Arabidopsis thaliana: one gene and its partners. The protein of the gene in region 2 interacts with the protein of the main gene of each other region in a pairwise test. Each region holds a gene or a part of one and is shown on either strand. Other genes may lie near its edges. The genes, in order: AT2G19650, AT5G56220, NIA1 and AT5G19960.

What was found.
Region 1: the proteins of AT5G56220 (region 2) and AT2G19650 interact in a two-hybrid assay, tested with the Arabidopsis thaliana proteins (one large-scale study listed by BioGRID).
Region 3: the proteins of AT5G56220 (region 2) and NIA1 interact in a two-hybrid assay, tested with the Arabidopsis thaliana proteins (one large-scale study listed by BioGRID).
Region 4: the proteins of AT5G56220 (region 2) and AT5G19960 interact in a two-hybrid assay, tested with the Arabidopsis thaliana proteins (one large-scale study listed by BioGRID).

Annotation. Positions count from the first base shown.
Region 1 is NC_003071.7:8,492,926-8,497,430, forward strand, and holds AT2G19650 (Cysteine/Histidine-rich C1 domain family protein), read right to left. Parts: upstream 2,968-4,505; 5' UTR 2,779-2,967; coding exon 730-2,778; 3' UTR 544-729; downstream 1-543. Other genes in the region: AT2G19660 (Cysteine/Histidine-rich C1 domain family protein), read right to left, coding at 3,795-4,505.
Region 2 is NC_003076.8:22,752,211-22,758,561, reverse strand, and holds AT5G56220 (P-loop containing nucleoside triphosphate hydrolases superfamily protein), read right to left. Parts: upstream 4,590-6,351; 5' UTR 4,246-4,589; exon of another isoform or gene 4,072-4,245; 5' UTR 3,692-4,071; coding exon 770-3,691; 3' UTR 505-769; downstream 1-504. Other genes in the region: WIP2 (WPP domain interacting protein 2), read left to right, coding at 6,199-6,351.
Region 3 is NC_003070.9:29,235,193-29,241,256, forward strand, and holds NIA1 (nitrate reductase 1), read right to left. Parts: upstream 4,293-6,064; 5' UTR 4,176-4,292; coding exon 3,122-4,175; intron 3,044-3,121; coding exon 2,903-3,043; intron 2,811-2,902; coding exon 2,578-2,810; intron 2,139-2,577; coding exon 813-2,138; 3' UTR 529-812; downstream 1-528. UniProt on the Arabidopsis thaliana protein: Nitrate reductase is a key enzyme involved in the first step of nitrate assimilation in plants, fungi and bacteria.
Region 4 is NC_003076.8:6,742,193-6,746,922, forward strand, and holds AT5G19960 (RNA-binding (RRM/RBD/RNP motifs) family protein), read left to right. Parts: upstream 1-1,685; 5' UTR 1,686-1,836; coding exon 1,837-1,947; intron 1,948-2,188; coding exon 2,189-2,287; intron 2,288-2,324; exon of another isoform or gene 2,325-2,379; coding exon 2,380-2,792; intron 2,793-3,139; coding exon 3,140-3,200; intron 3,201-3,270; coding exon 3,271-3,324; intron 3,325-3,422; coding exon 3,423-3,491; intron 3,492-3,566; coding exon 3,567-3,632; intron 3,633-3,713; coding exon 3,714-3,782; intron 3,783-3,869; coding exon 3,870-3,941; 3' UTR 3,942-4,189; downstream 4,190-4,730. Other genes in the region: AT5G19950 (tudor domain protein (DUF1767)), read right to left, coding at 478-691, 893-1,060, 1,229-1,510.

The DNA of each region.
Region 1 (4,505 bases), on a different chromosome or scaffold from region 2:
AGTTGAAAACTGCAGAATTACATGGCTTGATGATGTTTGCATTGTTAATCTCTATTACTCTTCAGTGTGCTCAGTGCCTGAAACCATAGCTTCCTTGATAGGGATCAATGTATTGGTAAACCAAATTGTGTAATAGTTTTTCCATAAAATAGATTCAATAGAACCAGTGTAACAAAAAATTATTAGGGGGCTCTGTTTTAAGGTCGCAACATGACGGTGACACAAACATTTTTTAGTGATTAACTTGTTCTCATTCTGTTCCAAGTTCAACAACACAAACTGAGTTTTTTGGCTTCTCTATCAGAGAACTAATGTGATTCTACAACACAACCTGCTCTGACTGACTTACTCTGCTATGTTCTGTTTTGCTCTGCTCTGTTCTCACTTCCACGTCTCTGTTTTTGTCATTGACATTTCGACTTGTAGGAACTTAAACATTTAGTGGATTGACTGGCAAGATTGATCCAACCTTTTCCAATCTTACATCCATAAATAAGTTGATATTTTTTCTGGTTTTTATTTGGCAAACACTAATGCACCCTAGGGTTCAATGAGATATATATATATTACACTAACACAAGTACACAACCAAATGTTATTGTAGGGACTTGTAATAATTTAACAGACCCAGATTCCTCACAAATTCTACCAAATTTGCGAGTCATTCAAGCTAGCAAACATTATCATCTATAAATAAATAGTTTTCTAAACATAGTAAAGAACATAATTTTAAAATTCGAAACGTTCCTGATAAATTTTCTTCTCACATTCTAAAGAACAAAAGTATAGATCAGCTCCGTCCTCGGGAAGCGTACGAACGAAAGGGAGCTTGCATCGAGAGTTGCACACGCAGCAAAGTGGTCTACAAATAGAGTGGTTGGATACAAATGTTCCTATCCATGTTAACGCTCCTGGCATGGAATATGCGTAAGTATCTATAACGCAGGAAATATGCAATGTGATCCCACACTCATTGCATGTATAGAACCATTTTTCTGGGTTCACAGTTGTTTCGCATGCTTCACACCAATATTTGCCAGCCACGCCCATTTCGCCATAAGATAAGAAGAGAGGATGATCGTCGTACCTATGCCTCATTACCTTTTGCGGTAAAATAGCACACTTGAAGCACAAACCAAATTCACAATCATCGCAACTCAATTTCCCGTCTCCATCACACTCACTACAACGTTTGGAGTGATCTGTAGAGTAGTGTAAAGGATGTTGATGGCTTTTGTGCTCAAATGGTTCTGTAACTGTAGCGCACCGTACATCTATCCTTAATTCCTTAGATTCATAGGAGAAACCGGTGAACAGTTGACGGCAAATACTACACCTATGTAACAAGTAGGTGCCATAATTTGGGGATAGTTCGAGTGGCTGGTTGTGGCACACATGACGTTTCTTTAAAGGAAGCTTGGCACATTTTTCGTGGATTATGAAATCGCATCTCTTTCTCGCGCAAGCGTAGAACGGTTCTGAACAAATCTGGAAGACACATGCGGTACAAACTACACTTTCTGGTAGATTCCAGCCACGGTAAATTCGTAAGTTATGCTTATGGCCGTAATGGTCTATCGTGTTGTCATCAATCACCTTGAATGGCGCAGTTTCCTCTTCTTCGGGTGTCCCTTCCAGTTCGATCATGTCCCATACATCCCTTCTGGTTGCGCATCTTGAATGAACAAAATAATCAAAACATTTGGAGCAAGAATAAGCCCCGTAGAACCCATCCACATTTTTACGACAAACTCTGCATTTCCCGTCTCCATGTCCGAGGCGAGGGGTGTAAGAGATGCGGTGGTCGTGGCGGTTGATGTTTATGACGCGAGGTAGATCGATACATTCCCGATGAATCATGAAATTGCACTGAAGACAGAAATAAGGGCTACGGTCACCTAGCGTCCCACAAGCATTGCAAGTGAAGTCAATGCGTCTTGGAACAAGGTGAAGTTGATGTTCATGGGTCCTCGGGCTTTTAACAAGAACCGGTGGTGGGTTTTTCATACATGATCTGCATATGCTAAAATTACAAACACCACAGTGGTGAAGCTGGCGATGGATTCCATCAAACTCCTCGCGGCAAAGAAGACATTTCTTGTCGGCGTAACCAGGGACTTCATATCTAAGTGACTTGAGTGGGTGTTGGGGGTGAGAAGTGTGGTATGCTTCTGGACTATTATGATCGATACAATCCAGACTGATGAAAAACTCGCATTGATGACATGTGTAGAAATGTTTCCAGCTATTATGTTGATGGCCACACCCTTTGCAATCTCTGAGTGTTTCGTGCGCTTCATGGGAGAGTTGGAGTGGATGCTCGTGTAGGTAGGAGTTTTCAGCAAGAACAAGTAGGGCTGGTCTCCTCGCGCAAATCAAATCCAACTGGAAATCACATTTGTTACAGCGATAACCGACACTGAAAAATTCTCCACAGAAACTACAATTAGAAACTCTGGTATGTAGGAGGATCAGCTTGAGAGGATGGACTGGATGGTAAGGGTGGTCGATTTCTGGTAACGGCTTGGCGCACTCTTCATGGAACACAACATCACATCCCGGCTCATTGCATCGGTGTCCTCCGTAAATGTAACTGCAACCGGGATGTTTGGAAATGAAGCTTGTATTATCTTCATCGGTCGAGTAGCATCCTTTACACTTGGTGAACTCGAAGCGTGTAAAAGGTATCAACGGATGCTCATGAAATGGTAACAATTTTTCAAGGCGGGATGCTTCTTCGTCCATGCCTTCATTAAACAAAGCTAGAAAGTTTTCCATGGTGATGTTTTCTTACTTCCACCAAAACACAAAGCTCTTCTCTTCTGCACTAGTTTCAGACTTGGTTTCTTGTTTTTCTCTCTTTCTTTTCTTTCAGGATTTTTTTTCAAGTGGTTTATCATTTTCAGACTTTGCAAATAGTTAATATGAATTCGCACCACAGAAATGATTCTTTTCATTACTGAGATTGAGACCACATGTGTTGGCTTCATCCTTGCATTATTTAATTAACTCAGACCACATATGTTGACTCTGCAACTATTGTGTCCGGCCAAAACATAAATAATTGAATGAATACAAAAAAGGTTTTTTCTTGCATTAAATGGAATAGAAGTTTATGGATAGAATAGTTTAGAATTTAAATGGATGGAACTGTACATTTTGTGGAAAAAACAGTTTGAAGTCTGAACCACACAACTCCTTGGCCAAGTAGCTTTGGAGGTAGACTTTGCTGCATTCAAGTCTCTGAAACCAAAGTTTTATTATTGTATTGCATCCACTAACTTTTATGTAATTTCAGACCAAAAGATTTGTATTTTTGTCTTTAAGACCAGGATTGGGCCAATCTTTGTTTTTTAATTTTTATACAGCCAAAAGTAAGTTCTATTTCCACCATCAGATTGTATAACCCATTTGAATAACACTATAAAGTTAACATATATATACCATCTGAAACATTCGAAGAATCATTTGTCAAATCACATGTATTCAAATCACTCAGAGCAAATTTTGATTAATAAAGAAGTTAAAAAGACATACTGCGTATACATGAGCTGCTCTTGCTTTAGCACAAAACAGAGACCAGATTCCAGTTCCAGCTCTAATGTCAAGAAACTTGTTCTTTTAAATATCCTGTTAAGAAATTCTGTTTCTAAGATCATTGAGACTGCTGCTGACTGGATTCAAAAGATTGATAATTGTGGAAAAAGCGCATAAGCTTGAGGTTAAAAAAAAACTATTGTAAAACATACTTTTGGAATTAAATGGTACAAAGTTTTTCTTCATTAAAACATGCCTTACCAATCACTACTAGAGTAGTTATTAGAGCGGTTGAAATTATAATAACAGTTTAAAGAACAAATGTATAAAACAACATCGGCTTTGGAAACGACCTTAACAATGGAAGGAAGCTTGCATTGAGAGTTACACACATAGCAAAATGGTCTACACATAGAGGTGTTGGATACCACCAAGTCTTCCTCCCATCCTATTTTGGAACCTGGCATATAATATGAGAAGTCTCCCACAACGCATGAAATATGCAATATGACACCACAATCATTGCATGTATAGAACCATTTCTTCGAATTCACTTTTGTTTCACATGCTTCACACCAGTATTCTCCATCCACACTACTTTCACCACACGACAAGTAAAGAGGATGATCGTCGTATCTATGCCACTTTACTTTCTGCGGTAAAAGAGCACACTTGAAGTCCAAACTATAGTCACACTCATCACAGCTAAAGCTTCCTATATCTAGATCCATGTTTTTGCCACATTCCGTACAAGACTTAGAACTACGTTTCGAAAAGTATAAGGGATGTTGATGGCTTTGGTGCACCAATGGTTCTCGAATTGAACCACATCGTACATCTAGAGTAACCATACGAGTAAGACACTCGTACCTGAAACCGGTGAAACTTTGCCAACAAAGATCACATGAAGTTTCGTCTGAAGTATCATTTGTGACTAGGGTAAATGGTAGGTTGTCGCAAACATGCCG
Region 2 (6,351 bases):
TCTATCCATTCTTCTTCACATGTTACATCTGATTTCAGATACAATGTATCAAGTCTTGCTTCAAGCAAACATATCTCACAACAGCTTTGACAGTTTTGTCGTGAAGCTTGAGACCAACTTGTTGATCTTAAAGTCACAGCTTTTAGTGTTTGACTGTTAGTTATTAGATACTAAATCTGAAAGCTTCAAGAGATCATATATTCTCTTGATTGTCAATTCAATACCTTAATAATCTGCTTTTGCTTTGTTGGATTCTGACTAACTTTGTGTTTAACCAAAACCAGATAAAACCTAAGCTCAATTTGTATGACAAGTCAGAATTTTTAGTCCTTTGAAAAGGAAACAAAACTGAGCAGTGAACTCCGGGGACCAGTAACAGAAGAGGGGAGAGTGACACTTGTTGGCAAAACCCAGACACTGATTAAATTGCATGTTTACTTAAGCCCATACCTATTTTTCTGTGTTTGTCTTTGGTCCCAGCTTCTTACACGAGTATTTGTCCTTTTTCAATTCTGTTTGTTACTGAGATTGTGTTATCTCTTTTGTTTGATTGGTTAACTTATCGGTTAGAGCTTTTTGGCTTGAGAATTCAATGCGTTTACAAAGAGACAATGATCAATAAGGATGTTGGTAATGTACATAGGAATAAGATTTGTTCTAAAAAAGGTTAAAAATAGCCATTACATGATTTGATGTCTTCAACAAAACTGAGCTTAGAGTAGTAATGTGGAAATAATAACCAGGAGAAATGTTTTTGTGTGTGGTTTCATCATATCTTGCTTCTCATTCTGACTAACTTTGCTAGTGTTTCTTGAGCAGCCAAAGTGAGATCATGGTTATGGCCAAGCATCACTGTCCTGATACTGATACAAGTCCTGCAAAGTTCCTCTCCACTATCGAAATGTCCGCCTCGTAGCAGCAGCTTTGCTCTGGTCTCCAGCAATAAAGCTTTCAACAATGTAACATCCTGCCACACGTATTCATCGACTTTCTTGTTAGTCTTCTTCTTCCAACAGAGCGAGCCTTGGCGCCAATCTTGTATCTGAGACACAAATGATTTCTCCACTTCCTCTAACACGTTGGTGCATACTTTTAGGAGCTCCAGCGCGGAGTTGCACCTTGAGAAGGTTGTGAAAGCTGTGATTGCTAAAGGAAGAGCTGTTCTCTTGATGTAAAGTACCATATCCATGGCTTGTAGTTGAACCAAAGGAGGTTCTGATTTGAATCCGAATACTAAGAAAGCTGAAGCCCATAGGTGATCAAGATTCAACAACGGGTTATCGATTTTCCTCACGCCTTGAACTGTTGCCTTTGGTGCAAGGATGTAGTCTCGTCTCCTCGCGAAAGTTTGAGTTATCGGATGGAACTGAATCCAACATCCAGGTTGTCTATTTGTTAACCTCGCTAGTCCTAATCTGACTAGTAAAAAAGCAGCATCCTCTTCGCTTCTGCGTCCTAAACCACAACCACCACACCAAGCAAATGTGTGACTCAGACACTTGTTCCATTTGCTGAACCGGTTTCCACCTGTGGGCATGTTCTTAGCAGCTGCAGCTAATAAGTTAACCGGTATAGGGACAGGAGCAAACCAAGCTCCCACGAGTAGCATTTTCAATGAGAGAAGGTTTCTGTTTCCCTCAGCTTGCTCCAAAACAGCCAAACTGAAAGCTAAAACCTTTGCAACAAATGGATTGGACTTGCAGTATTGCTCATCATTTAAGTTCAGAAAAGGCGAGGCCGAACGTTCTTCGATTTGAACTTTGTTTACAGCTTCAAAGAGAGCAGAAGGCAGAATTGCAAGCTCTGAAAGCAATGATCCAACCACCCAAAGACCATAGCTCAACCTTCCCAATTTCTCATCGAAAAGCTTGAGGACCTCCACCTCCTCCACCGGGTAATCTTTCTTTCTTCTTCCTCTCAGTAACACCATTGCATCAGACGAAGGCAATATAGAAAGCTGCACAGTGTCAAAGGTCATGACTTTAGGAAGTCTAGTAGTGATCAAAACATGTGTTCCTCCGGTGTTCCTCGGAATCAAATCATTTAGATCTTTCCCTTCCCACCAATCCTTCTCTATCTCAAGATTATCAATGATCAACAGATAAGGCATGTCTCTGAATAACTCACGCTTTATTCTCTTGAAAGCTTCAAACTCTTGTTCATCAAAGCTCCTTAGTCTACCTCTATCCTTCTCAGCATCTGCACTAACATCAAGCCCCAAGCTGAATGACAGATTTAACAGGTTCTGTCTAAAGTATCGAGCTTCCCCTCCGACCCACAAAACCATCTTATACCTCTGAGAATACCTGTAAGCGAATTCAAGAGCTAACTCTGTCTTCCCAATCCCTGGAACTCCATTTACACAAACAACACTTGTGCTACTTTTGCAGTTACTATTGTTTCTACACTTCTTAGTCTTCAACAATCTTTTAAGAGAGTTTTTCCCACCATTTGGATCACTCCAAGCCTCACTTCTTGAATCTGAGCATCTTCCAAGCTCCAAGCTAATAAACTTCCCATTTCGAGTTGGTACAACATCTGATTCCTCATCTGCAAGTCCTTCAGATTGTCCACTTGCTTCTCCTCTGGTACTTGGTGTTGTAGACTCAAGATACTCTCCATTACCAAATAAAGCCATCTCCATTTCAATGATCTCCTTTTCTCTTCCAAGAAAAGATCTGTTCCTCGGAAATGGAAGCTCATCAATCCCTTCCACAATCTCTTTATCAGCCACACTCTTCCTCCCAAGCTTTGCCCTGAGAATCGTCGCAGTCTTTCCCACACAGCTTCTCCAGTTACTCTCATTAGCTTCTAGTTTAAACTCATGAGACTTAATCAACCCATCAATGGCTTCTTTACACTCTTTATCTATGGCATTGCAGTTGAGAAGACCCATAATCTCAGAAGGACCAGTTCCATAGAAAATAGGAATCAAGTTCTTCTTTTGAGCAAAGAACCTAACTTCCTCCAAGCTAAGGTAGTTGAGCAAGCTGGAACAAGAGACAACCACAATCCCATAAGTAACAGAACAGATAACTCTGTCGGCGATCTCATGACTCTGTGTGTCCGAATACTTAGCTCTGTCAGCAACGAAACAAGCGATTCCCTGAAGCTCAAGCTCTGACTTTAACCATTTGCAGAATCTCACCAAGTTTGGGTTTTGTCCATGAAACCCTATGAAGACATCAGAGCTCCTGAGCTTGGTGTTAGTTGCAGGTGAAGAAACAGAGACTTTAGCCAAAGAAACCCTAGGAACAGGGAAAGAGAAAGAGATCCTTGGAGGAGCAGGATCTGGAGTACAAGATGCTGATAACTTGAGCTTCCGATCTGATGGTTGTTCATCAGAAAACTCGTACTGGTCAGAAGGAGGAGTGTAGGAGCTGCTTGGTACATCATCAGATTGTGAGCCTTTGTAAGAAAGAGGCGGTGATGGCTTGTGAGTGGTAATGGAGGGTGTTGTAGCTCTTGGGGATATATAAGGAGATTGCAAAGCGGAAACAAAAGCAGAAGATGGTGGGGACACAAGAGAAGGTGAATAGAAAGGAGAGTTTTTGATACTTGGAGATGAATCTGAAGCATTATTATTTGCTTGAAGAAGATCTTCTTTACCTTTCTTACTTGAAGAGCTTGCTGGTGATGAAGTTCTTATGGTTAAACCAACTAAACTTGCTTCTTCTTCTATTCCCTTCATTACTCCTTTTACTTCTTTCACCAAACACAAATTAAACTCAAATGAAAGCTCTCACCTCTCAGCTTCAAAAGGTTATGTCTTTATCTCTCTAACTTGGTAATGAATCTCATAATGGTGTTTCTCTGACAGATGATATTGAAGTGAGTGGGACTGAGAGGAGATGAGTCAGAACATGAATGCAACAGTTGATGCAGTTCAATGAGATTGAGGTAAAATCTGAGAAACTGCATGTGATGTATCTAACTCTTCCATTTTGTGGGGTCCCTCTTCTACAACACTGTTGAAACCCAATTTGTGTTTTCTTCTTTTCTTTATTTAATTTCTCCTCCTCCTCTTACTTCAGATTTGACCAACAACACCAAGCCAGTTTCAGAGAGTCTCTGCAACAATGGAGAGGTCACGGGTCAGAAGAAAAATCATTGCTTTACATTGAGTTTGTGGTCTAATGTTCATCATCATTAACAAGATTGAATCTTTTTACTCTCTAGCTAGGACCAACAATGAAAAAGCAACATATTAGTCAAATCTTTAAAGATGATTTCTTAAAGACTTACCCTTTTGTTTGATCTTTTTCAGACACAAGGCAAAAAAAGACGTGTCACTTCCCCTGCATATCTTTTCATTACCAAGCCTGTCTCTCTCGTCTATCTTTCTCTCTGTGTTTCTTTTTGAGGAAGAGCAGAAGATTGTGATAATGAAGAGGGAGAAGAATCTGGAGTTGTGAGTTGGATCTGAAAGTGCTTATGGACATTAATTTGTTTTTAAAATAGTGATTAAAGAAATGGTTAAGAGAGAAGCAGCCTGGAGATGGTTAATGTCTAAACATGTACCAATGTCATTTTATAATGATCACCCACTTAATCAAAAACCATTTTATAATTAACTTAAATTTATAATCTTGGATTCTCCTTTATGTCATTTGTTTTTAGCTCTCCTCTCTCTCTTCTCTCAACCTCCTCTGCATTTTCTGGAAATTTTTAATGAGTTTTTTTTTCTTCTTTAGTTTACCAAGAAGACTCCAGTTTTTATTTAAGATCGAGTTATTAGAGAAGTATAAATATAACATGGGTTACATTGGATTTAAGAGAGTTAAATAGACAAGAGTCAGATTTAAGACATTGAACTTTGAGCTTAAAAGAGGTTGTAGGATTGAAGAAAGGGAACCATTTTCAATTTTCTTAGTACTTTGGTTGTTTGTCATTTACTGTTTGTATTTTGTGGTCTATAGAAAACTCCAAACATTGTACTATATTGAGTATTGAATCATATAATACTATCATTGCTGCAATTAATAGGAGAAAAATGTCAAGAGAATATTTTACGTAAAACATATTTTGGGTTCTAAGTAAGTGAAATTCCTTCCACTATGTGATTATGAACTAAATTTCTAACAATAGTACTAACATAACATAAGTAGTAACCTAGTAGTATTTGACAATTTTTCTTATCAATAACATTTTAGTATATTGTAATTTGTAAGATAAACTCCTCATAATCGAGTAATTATCTTTTTTTTTTAATTCAAGGTGGTGCATGTATGTATGTGTACACTGACACAACATTTGAAATCTGATTTCACAGTGGGAATTGGTCCAAGACCAGTCCACTTGTGACTTTTTATTTATTTACCCCACACATTTTCACATTTATCTACAATCATAAGGGACTTTAAAAACATACACATTACACACACACACACACAAAAACAAAAAATTTACCATCAAAATCTTGGAGTGTGTGACGTATGAACAAAACAAGATTGATACTGTATGTAGAAAAGTCTCGTTATCAAACGATGTGGAAGCGTTTATCAAACGCTCAAGGATAAGTCTCGTTGTTTCCATACCTAAAAACGGCAACCACTGTATATAGAAAAGATGTAAACGTCAAAACTGAAGAAGTTAGAAAGACGAGGGTAAATTAGTAAAATAGTCGAGATCATATTAAAGTCCTAACGGTATATCACACACCGTTGAATTCCAGATCCGACCAGATAAGATCACGTCGAATCGAACGGTCATAAAATATCCGAGTAGTTGCTGAAGTATCCAGCGGTTTCGCCACGTGTCCCGACCATGTCGCTCACACGTTCGTATTTCTCTATTACAAAAAAAAGGAAACGAATCAAAATGTTTTTTGATCGTAACCGGGAAAAAAAAAACGATTTTTCGCAACGAAACTTTCCACAATCAACGGATATAGAGAGAGATCTCTGCGAATCGTTTAAATCGTCTTCTAATTTCGTTTCGGTCTCTTCGTAAAGGATTCACCTTTGAGTGGTTTTGCGTTCCATTTTATTAGGTACGTCAAGCTCGAAACTTTCGATTCATTGGCTTTCGTAAATGTGATTAATCTGGGAATTGAGTTGAATTTAGAGAACCCTATTGCTTCATTTTTGTTTTCGTATTTTGGTTTTATTGAATTTGCCTCTGGTTCTTACTGGAATGGTGGTTGTTTAGTCTTGAGATTGATCCCATGTGAAAAGTTAGTATTTTTGTGGCGTCGTCATGGATTTGGAGAGTGAAAGCTCTGTTCTTGAATCTGTTGAAGATAATAATGGTTTGATTGGTGATCTTGATAAAGAGTTGAATTCACCGGTTGAGACTTCTCCTCTTATATCAAAAGGATTTGGTTTAAGAAAATGGAAGAGGAGGTTAAGG
Region 3 (6,064 bases), on a different chromosome or scaffold from region 2:
CGAATCCGTTCTTATTATTTATTCACTGTGGATCTTGAATTCTCTTTATAATTAATAATTAAATATGGAATCATGGATACCTTCATTTTTAACTTTCGTTACTCACTATGAAAGTCTTGTGTGACAAAAAAAAAGATCCAATGTTTTTTACATATCACCATTCTCCATAATATTATTACTTGTAAAATGCGTATGAACCACGAATCTTGTGGGGCCGAAACGAAAATCCATTTTAGATCTTTTTCCATTTTTTGTATCGAACGCATACTGTAGCATCATTCGTCTCCCTTTGACATAATGATATGCGTATCTTTGCATTAAACGTTTATTTTCATGCATGTTTGTCTTTTTTTGTTGTCACTGACGATTGAAAGCAACACGACCACAAGTGGTAACTAACTTAAAACTATTAGTCTTATACGACAAAACGTTTACCAGGCGTGATTAAATGAATAACACTTGATGTGAACTATAACTAACTTATTAGACGACCAGTAATAGATGACACGACACATTATGGAAGCATAATAACTCAAATAGAAGATGTTGTGACATGAGTCCTGACATGCAATAACAAAAAAAAAACGATAATATCAAGACACAAGAAGTTTGAGTTACAATAAGTTCATCATTTATCATCATCATCATCAACAACATAGATCATAATTAAACACAATTTTATACAATATACAATTTGGAGCTCTGATAAACAACAACTATAACAAAAGTGCCCAAATAACCATGTATATACACACATAAGCGATACTTGTTATCAACTTTCGAATTTCCAATAGCACAGAACTTGAGCAAATCTAGAAGATTAAGAGATCCTCCTTCACGTTGTAACCCATCTTCTCTAGATTTGGCTGCAACGCAAACTGAATCATAGGCGGTGGTCCGCATGCGAGTGCTAGCGATTCGCCTTCCAAACCTTCAGGGATATGTTCCCTAAGCACAGCTTCAGTTATAAACCCGGTACTGTAACTCCAACCTTCCTTTGCGATTTCAACGACGTACCAAATCTTTAGCCTCTCCTTATGCTTACTAGCCCATCCTTCTAGCTCTTCCCTCACAAGAATGTCATCCTCGGTTCTGTTTGCGTAAACCACATACATCTCGGTTTCGTCCTCTGGATCACTCAATATAGATTGAATGATCTGGTAGATAGGAGTGATGCCTGTTCCTCCGGCGAGCATTGCTAGTTTCTTGGCAAACTTAGGTTTGCCGCTGACCAGGAAGTTGCCTTTGCCTTTGTACTCGATGTGCCCTAGTGGACCTTTGATATCTATCATTGACCCGATTGGTAACGAGTCTAAGTGTTGAGACATGAGTCCACCATTGGGAAACCTTGGATGAACGTCTTTGAAGTAAACTTTGACGACGAGGTCGATATGACCAACCGCGTCGATGGCGCTGGTGGGAGTATAAGCTCTGAGACAGAGTTTGTCGTTTATGTTGGCGCAAACGAAAACGTGCTTCCCCACGGGTAAACCAAGCTGTTGATCTTCTGATGGTAATGCGAATCGGAACTTACGAACGTCGTGCGAGATCGAAGTCTTCTCAATGAGCCTAACCGGGATTTTCTCACGTGGGTTGACCAAAGCAATGTTCTTTTGAGGAGTTAGCTCTTTGATTGGAGCTAACAAAGGACCAAAGTTTGAGGCACCATGAACTGAGACGTTAGGGGAAGAGTCGTAGCCAGTGGTGATGAGTTCACCGATACGGTAATCTTCCAAAAGCTTCTTGGCTTTGTCAGAGTGAATGGCTTCAAACTCTTCGGTGCAATCTGTACCTGCGTTTATCAGGATAGAATCTGTGCCTCCTGGATGATCTTTCAAGAAACGTGTACAGTCATAGATGTGACCGTGGACGATGATCCATGCAGAGTCAGCAGTGTTGTGTTTTCTAACTTCAGAGATTGAATACATCTTCGAGGCAGTGTTCATGAAAGGAGATGAGACAGATTTCTTCAAGGTATTGTTGGATTCTGAGGAAATCTCAAGCTGACGCTCCTTTGCCATCCACCCACCCGACTGGTTTCCGGGTCTGGTCGGGTGTTCGAAAACTATCCCTATCTCTCCTCTATGAGGCTTGCACACGTTGGTCCTAATCCTGAACCAGCAATTGTTCATCATCCCCTGTTTAACACAAGTCAACGTCGTTATTGCTTTAGTCAACATCGTTAAAAAAATAACAATTAGCTGGAGACCCTAGACTTAGACTTATGTAAATTTTATATAATTTCGATTTTAATCTACATAATTGCCCCGCATGAAGGGAGATTATAATACTTAAACGCACTACTAAAATGAACTGTACAACAGAGACACTTAAAGAATTGGTCTTTAGTTCCATGTTGATTAGTGCTCTATTAAAAGATTCCGTAAGATTAGTATTGGTAGGTATCACGTTCAAAAGAAAATATCATCAGTAGTTCCAACTTTGTAGGACGAATACAAATATCAAAATCGAATAGTTTACTCAAAAACAAGATTAAACTATTTAAATCATATAGTAAAGAATAAAGTAAACTAATTAATTCTATAATTTAAAAATATCAAGAGAGAGGATTATTACCATGAGGTTCCAGATGAGTTTATCAGGCTGAGTATTGAAAGACTCGTCCCAGGCTCGAACCGCGACGTCTTTAGCACTGAGCAGATCAAGAACCTCAACGTCAAGTGACCAGAAACACCAGCACCAGAATTTACCGTACTTGTTCGGTTTCTCCTGGTGGTCAAGCTCACAAACACTCCACGTGTCTCCTCCGTCTAGAGTCACCTCAACCCTCGTTACCTTCTTACCTCCTCCTGTTTATTTCATCAATACACCGATCAGGATTTTAATTACATAGTAAAGAATCCTTTTAACTTTTAACTAAAGCAAAGTTAAAATAAATTACCAGAATAAGCGTAGCCTTTTAATGTGTACGGCTTCTGAGTAGTGAATGCATTAATCGGTAAAATCTCTGCGTGACCAGGTGTTGTAATCACCGAGTTTATATTAAGCTCGTTGATTATGTATTCAGGCTTATACCACCAAGCTGTAACAAAAACAAGTAAATAATATTAGCATCGGTAACTAAAATGTAAAAGAAGACAAGGGTAAGTTAATAGTTTACCTTCGGAATTTGCCAGCTCAGCATCAACGAGAGAAGGAAGGACTCGATTGTCTTTATAGTGATAGTAACTGTCAGATTCTTGAGGCGTGACGATGATTCTCTTTAACCATTTAACCATCCGACCACCGATGAAACCCGGTACAATGACCCGAACCGGAAACCCATGATCCGGCGTTAAAAGCTCGCCGTTTTGCATATAAGCTAAGATAATATCTCTAGCCGGATCCATCGCCATCTCCTTCTTAATACTTGTTCCGTATTTAGATCCGCCGCCGCCGGGAAGATCCTCCGCTCCTTCGAAGCAAACGTTTAACGCGCCTCCTCTCCGGCTATAGATCCCGCATCGACGGAGGATTTCGCTTAACGGAATACCTTTCCATAGAGAAGTAGATACTCCGGCGGATCCCCAATTGAATCCGATCGTTTGTTTCACCATGTTCTGTTCCTTGCGGCGATTACCGGCGCAGACGAGTGTCACCGGGAATTCGCGGCTGGGGAACTCGGAGATTAGCTCTTCCATGGTGAATTTAGCCGGACGTTTAACGAGTCCGGTAATTTCGATTGACCAGTCTGACCAATTCGCTTTGGGAACTGCACCGTGGTTGCGGACGTAATGGAGTGGAACTGGAGTGATGAATCCATGGTGCATAAGACGAGGAAGAGGTGCTTCGGCGTTGAATGGATGTTTTCCGGTGAGACGGAGCATGGATGAGTTACGTTGAATCCAACTATCAGCCGTTGATTCATCTCTCGGATCTAAAATCGACGGTTCTAAATCGCTGTTTGATTTTTTAACCAGCTCTTTGTAGTAAGGGACGTTACGGTTATGGCTCTCGTCTTCGTCGTCGCTTGAGGAGTCGTCGTAACTGTCTACGACGGTGGTGATGACTTCGGTTTCTTTGACGATTTTAGTTTCGGTGAGGATGACGTCGAGAGTTTGGTTTTGGTGACGGTGGCGGTCGAATGAGCGAGGAGAAGGAACGAGAGGAGGTTTGAAGGCGTGAGCGACGCCGTTCATGGTGGGATAATGGCGGTTATCGACGGAGGTCGCCATGGTTTAGTGATTGAACCGGTGATAAGAGAGAGATAAGCTATTTTTTTGGTTTTGGTTTGGTTTGTGAAATTTTTTGGTTTCTGAATGAGTAAATGAGAGGTTGTATTTATAGGGGGCGTTACAGAGATGAGTAAATAAAATAATTAATAAATTAAGAGAGAGGAGAAATTGACAAATGTGAGTTTGTGTGGTCGCTGAGTAGAGGGACCCACCTACCTAGATCCTAAGGTTTGGCCTTTAAGGCGGGAGATTTTTATTTCATAGGATATATATATTTGCTTTTAAATACTAATGCGATATGAAGTTAAAAATAAAATGCGGGTCTAAGGATTCGATCCGTGGGCAATATCGTGGGAGGGTACTATGATTATGATACCTCTCTCACTCAACACTTAACTTTAATACAAAGAAAGAAAAAAATTGTGACAAACATATGCATAGTTTTCTATGGAAAAAAATTATATCGTCAATAGCCAATTCATTTCTTTACGTTAAGTGTTGAAATGTTTACTGGTCTTGATCATAATTTAGCTAGTTATTGATAATATAGTTTTGTTAAAAGTTTCACATTTATGGTGTCGGAATTGTTTGTGGCCATTTAACAAGAACATATTATTTATTTTAGCGTAAACCACAGTGGAAAAACCAATTATAGACTGCAAAATATATGTAGAATATGAAAAAGCATGTTCATGCATGTTTATTTCTTTAGAGTTAATGTACTCCGACACTGAAATTGGAAAAGTCAGAGAAACCCTATTGGAGTCTATACGAAACTTCCAGGAAGTACTTTATGTAATAAACAAAAATATTGCACTTAAAAAAGAAGAAACACATGCCTTCCCTTGAAGCTATAAAATTTAATAAATTGAATACGAACAACAATCGAGTAACCACGGGCAAGATACACCTTTCTCTTGAGGAAAAAAAGCTGAGATAAACCTTCCCTTGGATCCACAAACATGGACTCTTGTATAAGCAATGCTGAGTTCTTTTTTCTCTTCCTCACTCACTACTAGTTCTTGCTAGGGAATGTTCTAGCTAGCTAACGTAACGTACTTACGACATAGATATAAAAAATACCCATCAAAAAAAAAAAAAATAGATTTGTCTATGCAAAATACTGGGTATTCTCTTTTACAATTGTAAAGTGCGGATGCAGCGGAGAGTAAATTTTGGAGAAACTTGAATTTTCAATCGAAGCACTAGAATGTTTTTTTTATCAATGTGTCACGGCGACAAAATAGTTTATTTATTTGGAATATGCATAAGTTAATGTGTGCCCCCCAAAAAAAAATGCATTAGTTAATGTAAAACAAGAACAATATTACCTAGTTTTATTCCACAAATATATGATATGGCAACGAACTTTTCGATAATATTGAATGATGATTAAAGACAAAAGTAACACGTAAACTTGCTCATAGTTTTGGGAAATTGTATGTTAATGAATGCAAAATATCATAGATGTATGACTCAAGATTAAAAGTACATCACGTGTACATACATATTACATAAAAGGGTATTAATCAGCATATTCACAGATAGATTTTGTCTATATTGACTTCAATTTCTTAAAATCAACGTCAAATTAGACGTCAGTGTAATAATAAGAAAATGGAGAGTGAGAATCCTGTGGGCTAAAACATATATGTATGATATGATATTGAGCATATTGTTGACTAGTTTAATATAGAGAAATTGTATTAATTAATTAAGTCGAGAAAGTAAATATCTCGAAGATTTTTATGGATTACATGACGATTAAGAAGATAAAGCGCAATTAAGTATAAACTAAACAGAGATTATGGTATAAAAAAGGAGTTTAGAGAGAAGACTTTGGAGGCTAAGTGGCGCATGGGAACACCAACGGCCAAGCAAATACACGA
Region 4 (4,730 bases), about 16 Mb from region 2:
GCTGACAAGTTAAATTTTTGATGCATTGGCCAAACTTCCATCACAATACTTTATGTAAGCCCACACAAAGGAAGAACAATTCAATAGATCATAAATTTTACCACAATGAAAATGCATTCACTCAAGTTTAAGTATTGAAACAATGGAGACCCAACAGCGCCAATGTTGGACACAAAGCCAAGGGAAAACATAGATCAGACCTCTACATGAGTCGTCATAGGTTACATAAACGGATATATTGGGATTTTGGAGCTCGGGTCAAATTACTAATATGTTTATGCTAAAGTGCATTTGGATGGAATAAGTCCTTGCTGCAGTCAATGCATATTTATGTACACTATCAACATGAAATAGAAAATGGTAGATATTTTATTTGGTAGCAAAGATTGGCCAACCGTTTCAAAGTGAACTAAATATGCAACAAATTACTAGAAGAAAACTGAATGAAAATGATGAGAATAAGAAAATCCTGCTTACCGCGGTGATGGGAACCTGTTCGAATCTTCAACTCCTCAAATGGAGGAGGGCCATCACCAGCTTTGCTTTCCTGAGATCGAGCCAAACTAGCGTATTTTTTCTTCATCTGCCATTCTTCAGTGAGTGATTGCACATAACCGCCCAAGACAGTCACCTCTTTTGGAGTCAAACATACTAGACCATCACGTATCACAGCCTTATTTTCTAGACGTACCTGCCAACGAGACAGTACAAAATATCAACAATACAAAATGATTTATGATTTGCATATGACACCCTCTGATGCATGACAAACACATATGTGCACTAGCTTTCTATTGATTTAGATCTTAATCCAAACTATTATATTTGCATGAGACTTTCAGAAACATAGTAAAGGAGAATTTGAATTAGATTGATATGGAAATGGAACTACCTTAGTACCAGGAGTGACATCATTGTTAATCGTTGGTATATGAGAGTACTCAAGCGCGGATATTTCGGTCTTCCCGTCAGTCAGAGCGAATTTTAGCACTCGTTTACCAGTGGAACTTCCCACAAATTCCTCTGCGCTACTTCTTGTAACATCCCTAACATAACTTATCTATGCTCACAAAAGAAAACAAATTAACACTCAACAGCTTGAATCAACTGCAACAATTGAGCATTCTGAAACTAGTTTAAATCTAAGTATATCAGTGAGAGTGACTCATTGAATTAGCGAAGACCTAATGCCAATTGTTACTGACTTTAGCTGATTGAAGCAATGTACCTGGAGAACTTTGGGGCCTTGAAGATGAGAACACCTGCGTAACTCGGTCGGGTCCGGGAGGGATTTACCTCCGATTAACTTAATATCCATGTTAAGCAGCTCCGCCTCCACTGACTCCACGATGGCGCCTGTTTTATTGCCGCCGCCGATCAAGGAAGAGATTTCAGTGACCAGGGATTTCAAGTATTCGACGTCTCTGAAGCACCAGCCCCGACTAGTTAGGGCATTTATCACGACGGTGTGGGTGTGGTCGCCGGCGGAGGAGCTTGATGTTCCCACCATTGCGTTGATGCTCTTGTCGCGCTAAACCAATTGGGGAAGACGAGATTTTAATTTGGAGAATTGATTTTGTTATGGTCAATATCGAGTTAAACTAATTACTATTCACTAATGATACTTTTTGCATAAAATCGTTTTGATCAATAAAGAAGAACATTTTTAACAGAAAAACTAGAAAAGTAATTCGAAAAAGTCCTATAAAAAAGGTATTTTCCGGTTTCGTTTTAGTGGGCCTAATGGCCCATATGTAACACGAAGATTTCTGACAGTACGACTTCTAAAGTACTTTGCTTTCCTTGTTGAATTCCGACCAAAGTCGATAAAGAGTTATGACGATGGACGATGGTAACTCCGTCTACGTCGGCGGCCTCCCTTACGACATCACCGAGGAGGCTGTCCGTCGCGTCTTCTCCATTTACGGCTCCGTCCTCACCGTTAAGGTTAATTTTCTCTTTTCAATATCCTGATTTAAGTTTCTTAATTAGGATGATTCAAATTCGTTTCGTGATTTTGAAGTTCCAATCTTATTGTATGATCTTATAGATGATAAGCTTTAGTAGATATCTATGTAGAAAGACTGACCAAGTGATTTAGATAACATCCAATTGCTAGTTGATATATCTTACATGTGAGCTGGTCAGAGTGTATATTGACATATATGTGTACTATTTGAGAATTCAGATTGTCAATGACCGGAGTGTAAGAGGGAAATGCTATGGCTTTGTTACATTTTCGAACCGTCGATCGGCTGATGATGCTATCGAAGATATGGATGGAAAAGTATGGTTCTACTGCTAAAGTTTTGTTCTTTTGTTTATATTATCATGTACGTGGTGTGTTTATATTGTTGACGGTATTGAGCTCGTAATCAGAGTATTGGTGGGCGTGCAGTGCGTGTGAATGATGTGACAACAAGAGGTGGAAGAATGAATCCAGGTCCGGGGCGGTTACAACCACACGGTGGTTGGGATAGAAGTCCTGATAGGAGAAGTGATGGTAATTATGAGAGGGATCGGTATAGTGATAGGTCTCGAGAACGGGATAGGTCTCAGGATAGGAGAAAAGATCATCGCTACATAGAGAAGGAAAGAGCTTATGAGCATTCACATGATTTTGAGAGGAGGAATGATCATGATATGGTAGATAGAAATGGTTATAAGGAAAGAGTTTTCGATGGTGATGAAGGAGATTGGCGTGGGGATAGGTCTTATGTGGATAATGGTAGGGGAATAAATGGGACCAGTGCTCACGAAGGAAGGAGCCAAGAAACAAAGAGAGAAGATAGGTAAACTTTTGTTGAAAACAATGCAGTTGTAGACTTCACATTGGATTTCAAACTTTTAGTGTTCCTCCTGTTTCTTTGAATTGTGACATTCGTTGTTCTTGTAAAATTGGTCTGCTAGTTTGAATGAGTCAAAGACTGGGATGCTAGTCTTAGTCACGCCGCTAAACCAAATCATCCACACCTGTTGTGGTTAAGTTTGATAAATTATCATCGATTTTAGTGTAATGGATTTGAGGAAGTTTCTTGCTCTTGTTGGCTTTGTGCATGTTACCGTTTGAGGAATGTTTTGGCTTGCTTTGGTTTTGTTAACATGTCTAAATCTTTGTGTGTTCTTGTTGGATTGACAGTACCATTCTTGATGGTGGACGTGGCAGAGATCACTTCTCTAATTCAAGTGGAGATCATCAGGTAAAGATGATTTTCTTAGCCATGCAGTGTTTGCATAAATTCATTTTATAACTTGCAACTTCTATTACAGGTGAAAGAAGATCTGGAAGCGCTGATTAAGATGCGTGAGGCGCTTCGAGATGAGGTATGAGGTAGTTTATCTGTGCATATAGGCTGTTGGTAGATTTATTTTACATAATCACGAGTGATCCAATGAATTTATGGGCTACTTTCATTTTTAAGGTGATGGTGATGGAAGAGAGACTGGAAGTAAAAGAAGTAGTGTGCTCAGAGCTACAGAAGAAATCTAAGGTATGTGTCTTCTATATCTTACAACCCCAAAATGTTTGACTACAGATTTGTTCTCATTTGAAATGGTTAAGACAGAGATTAGAAGATTTGTTGATCAATGAAAAGAAACTGGTTTCACAACGCCGAAAAGAATTGGCAAAGGTAAGCATAGGTTCGATTCCTGTTCTAAAAGTCGGTTTTGTTAGGTAATGTTTGTTGACATTTGGTCTATGTTTGTGGTAGCTACATAAATCATATTCAAGGGTTAGAGAGTGCACGGACAACCTGAAAGACTGTGAACAAGAACTCCAGGTTAGTTTCTAAATTTTCTTATTCTAGTGATTGTCATTGCATAAAGATTAGGCCTAATCGAAACAAGTGTCTATTCTTTTCTCGCAGTTGCTTGTTAATTCAGCAGCTAGAGAAGGCGTGGCAGGTGCTGATGAAGGATTGGGACACGGGTATCCGTAACACGGTCACCCGCATGTATGATCTGTTTTGTCTAAAGTGTAGCTTTGATATGTCTTCTCTTTGTGACTTTCCGAGTTTTTTTCTAGTCGAGCTACACTAATTTGGTACATATTTACTTGTTTTGGCAAGTATGTATTCATTTCATTCGGGATGTATTATTATCATACGAACATGAACTAAATAATTATGTTTTCAACTTGCAACTGAAACCAAACAATCACCATACAAAGTGTGGAAGTAAAGTCTCAAAGCTTTGTTAGAGAAGAAGTCCTAGATAGTACTTGGCTATAGTTAAAATATTTTAGTAGATGAAGTTGACAAATTAACTATTTCTTTTTGTAATGTTTGCTTTGTTCTTTACTAATATAAAGATACTTGGCTACAGTGAAAATGTTATAAAAAGAGAGAAAAGAATAGACAGTTAAATTATTAAGGTTGACACAACCATCATCTCCACCGTCCATTACTCGTCAGCCGAATGTTTTTTATTTGATTAAGATGTGAACATCATCCATTGACCTATCGTTGCTTGTAAAGCCAAGTTAGCCAACCAACACTCAAATCATCATTATACGTGACGATCTTAAGAACAACCCCATTTAGGATACTCTATATGTTTGTCTTCTCATATAAATTTCATTATAGTAATATTAAGGCATTATCCATTATTCATATATATTCTTCAAGGCATGTTTCGTACATCTTATAGCAAACCAGTAGCAGTAAATAGCATAAGCAAATGTGTTCTTCTTGTCGCATGGCTCTAGTGGAATTCCACGTTTCTCCTTC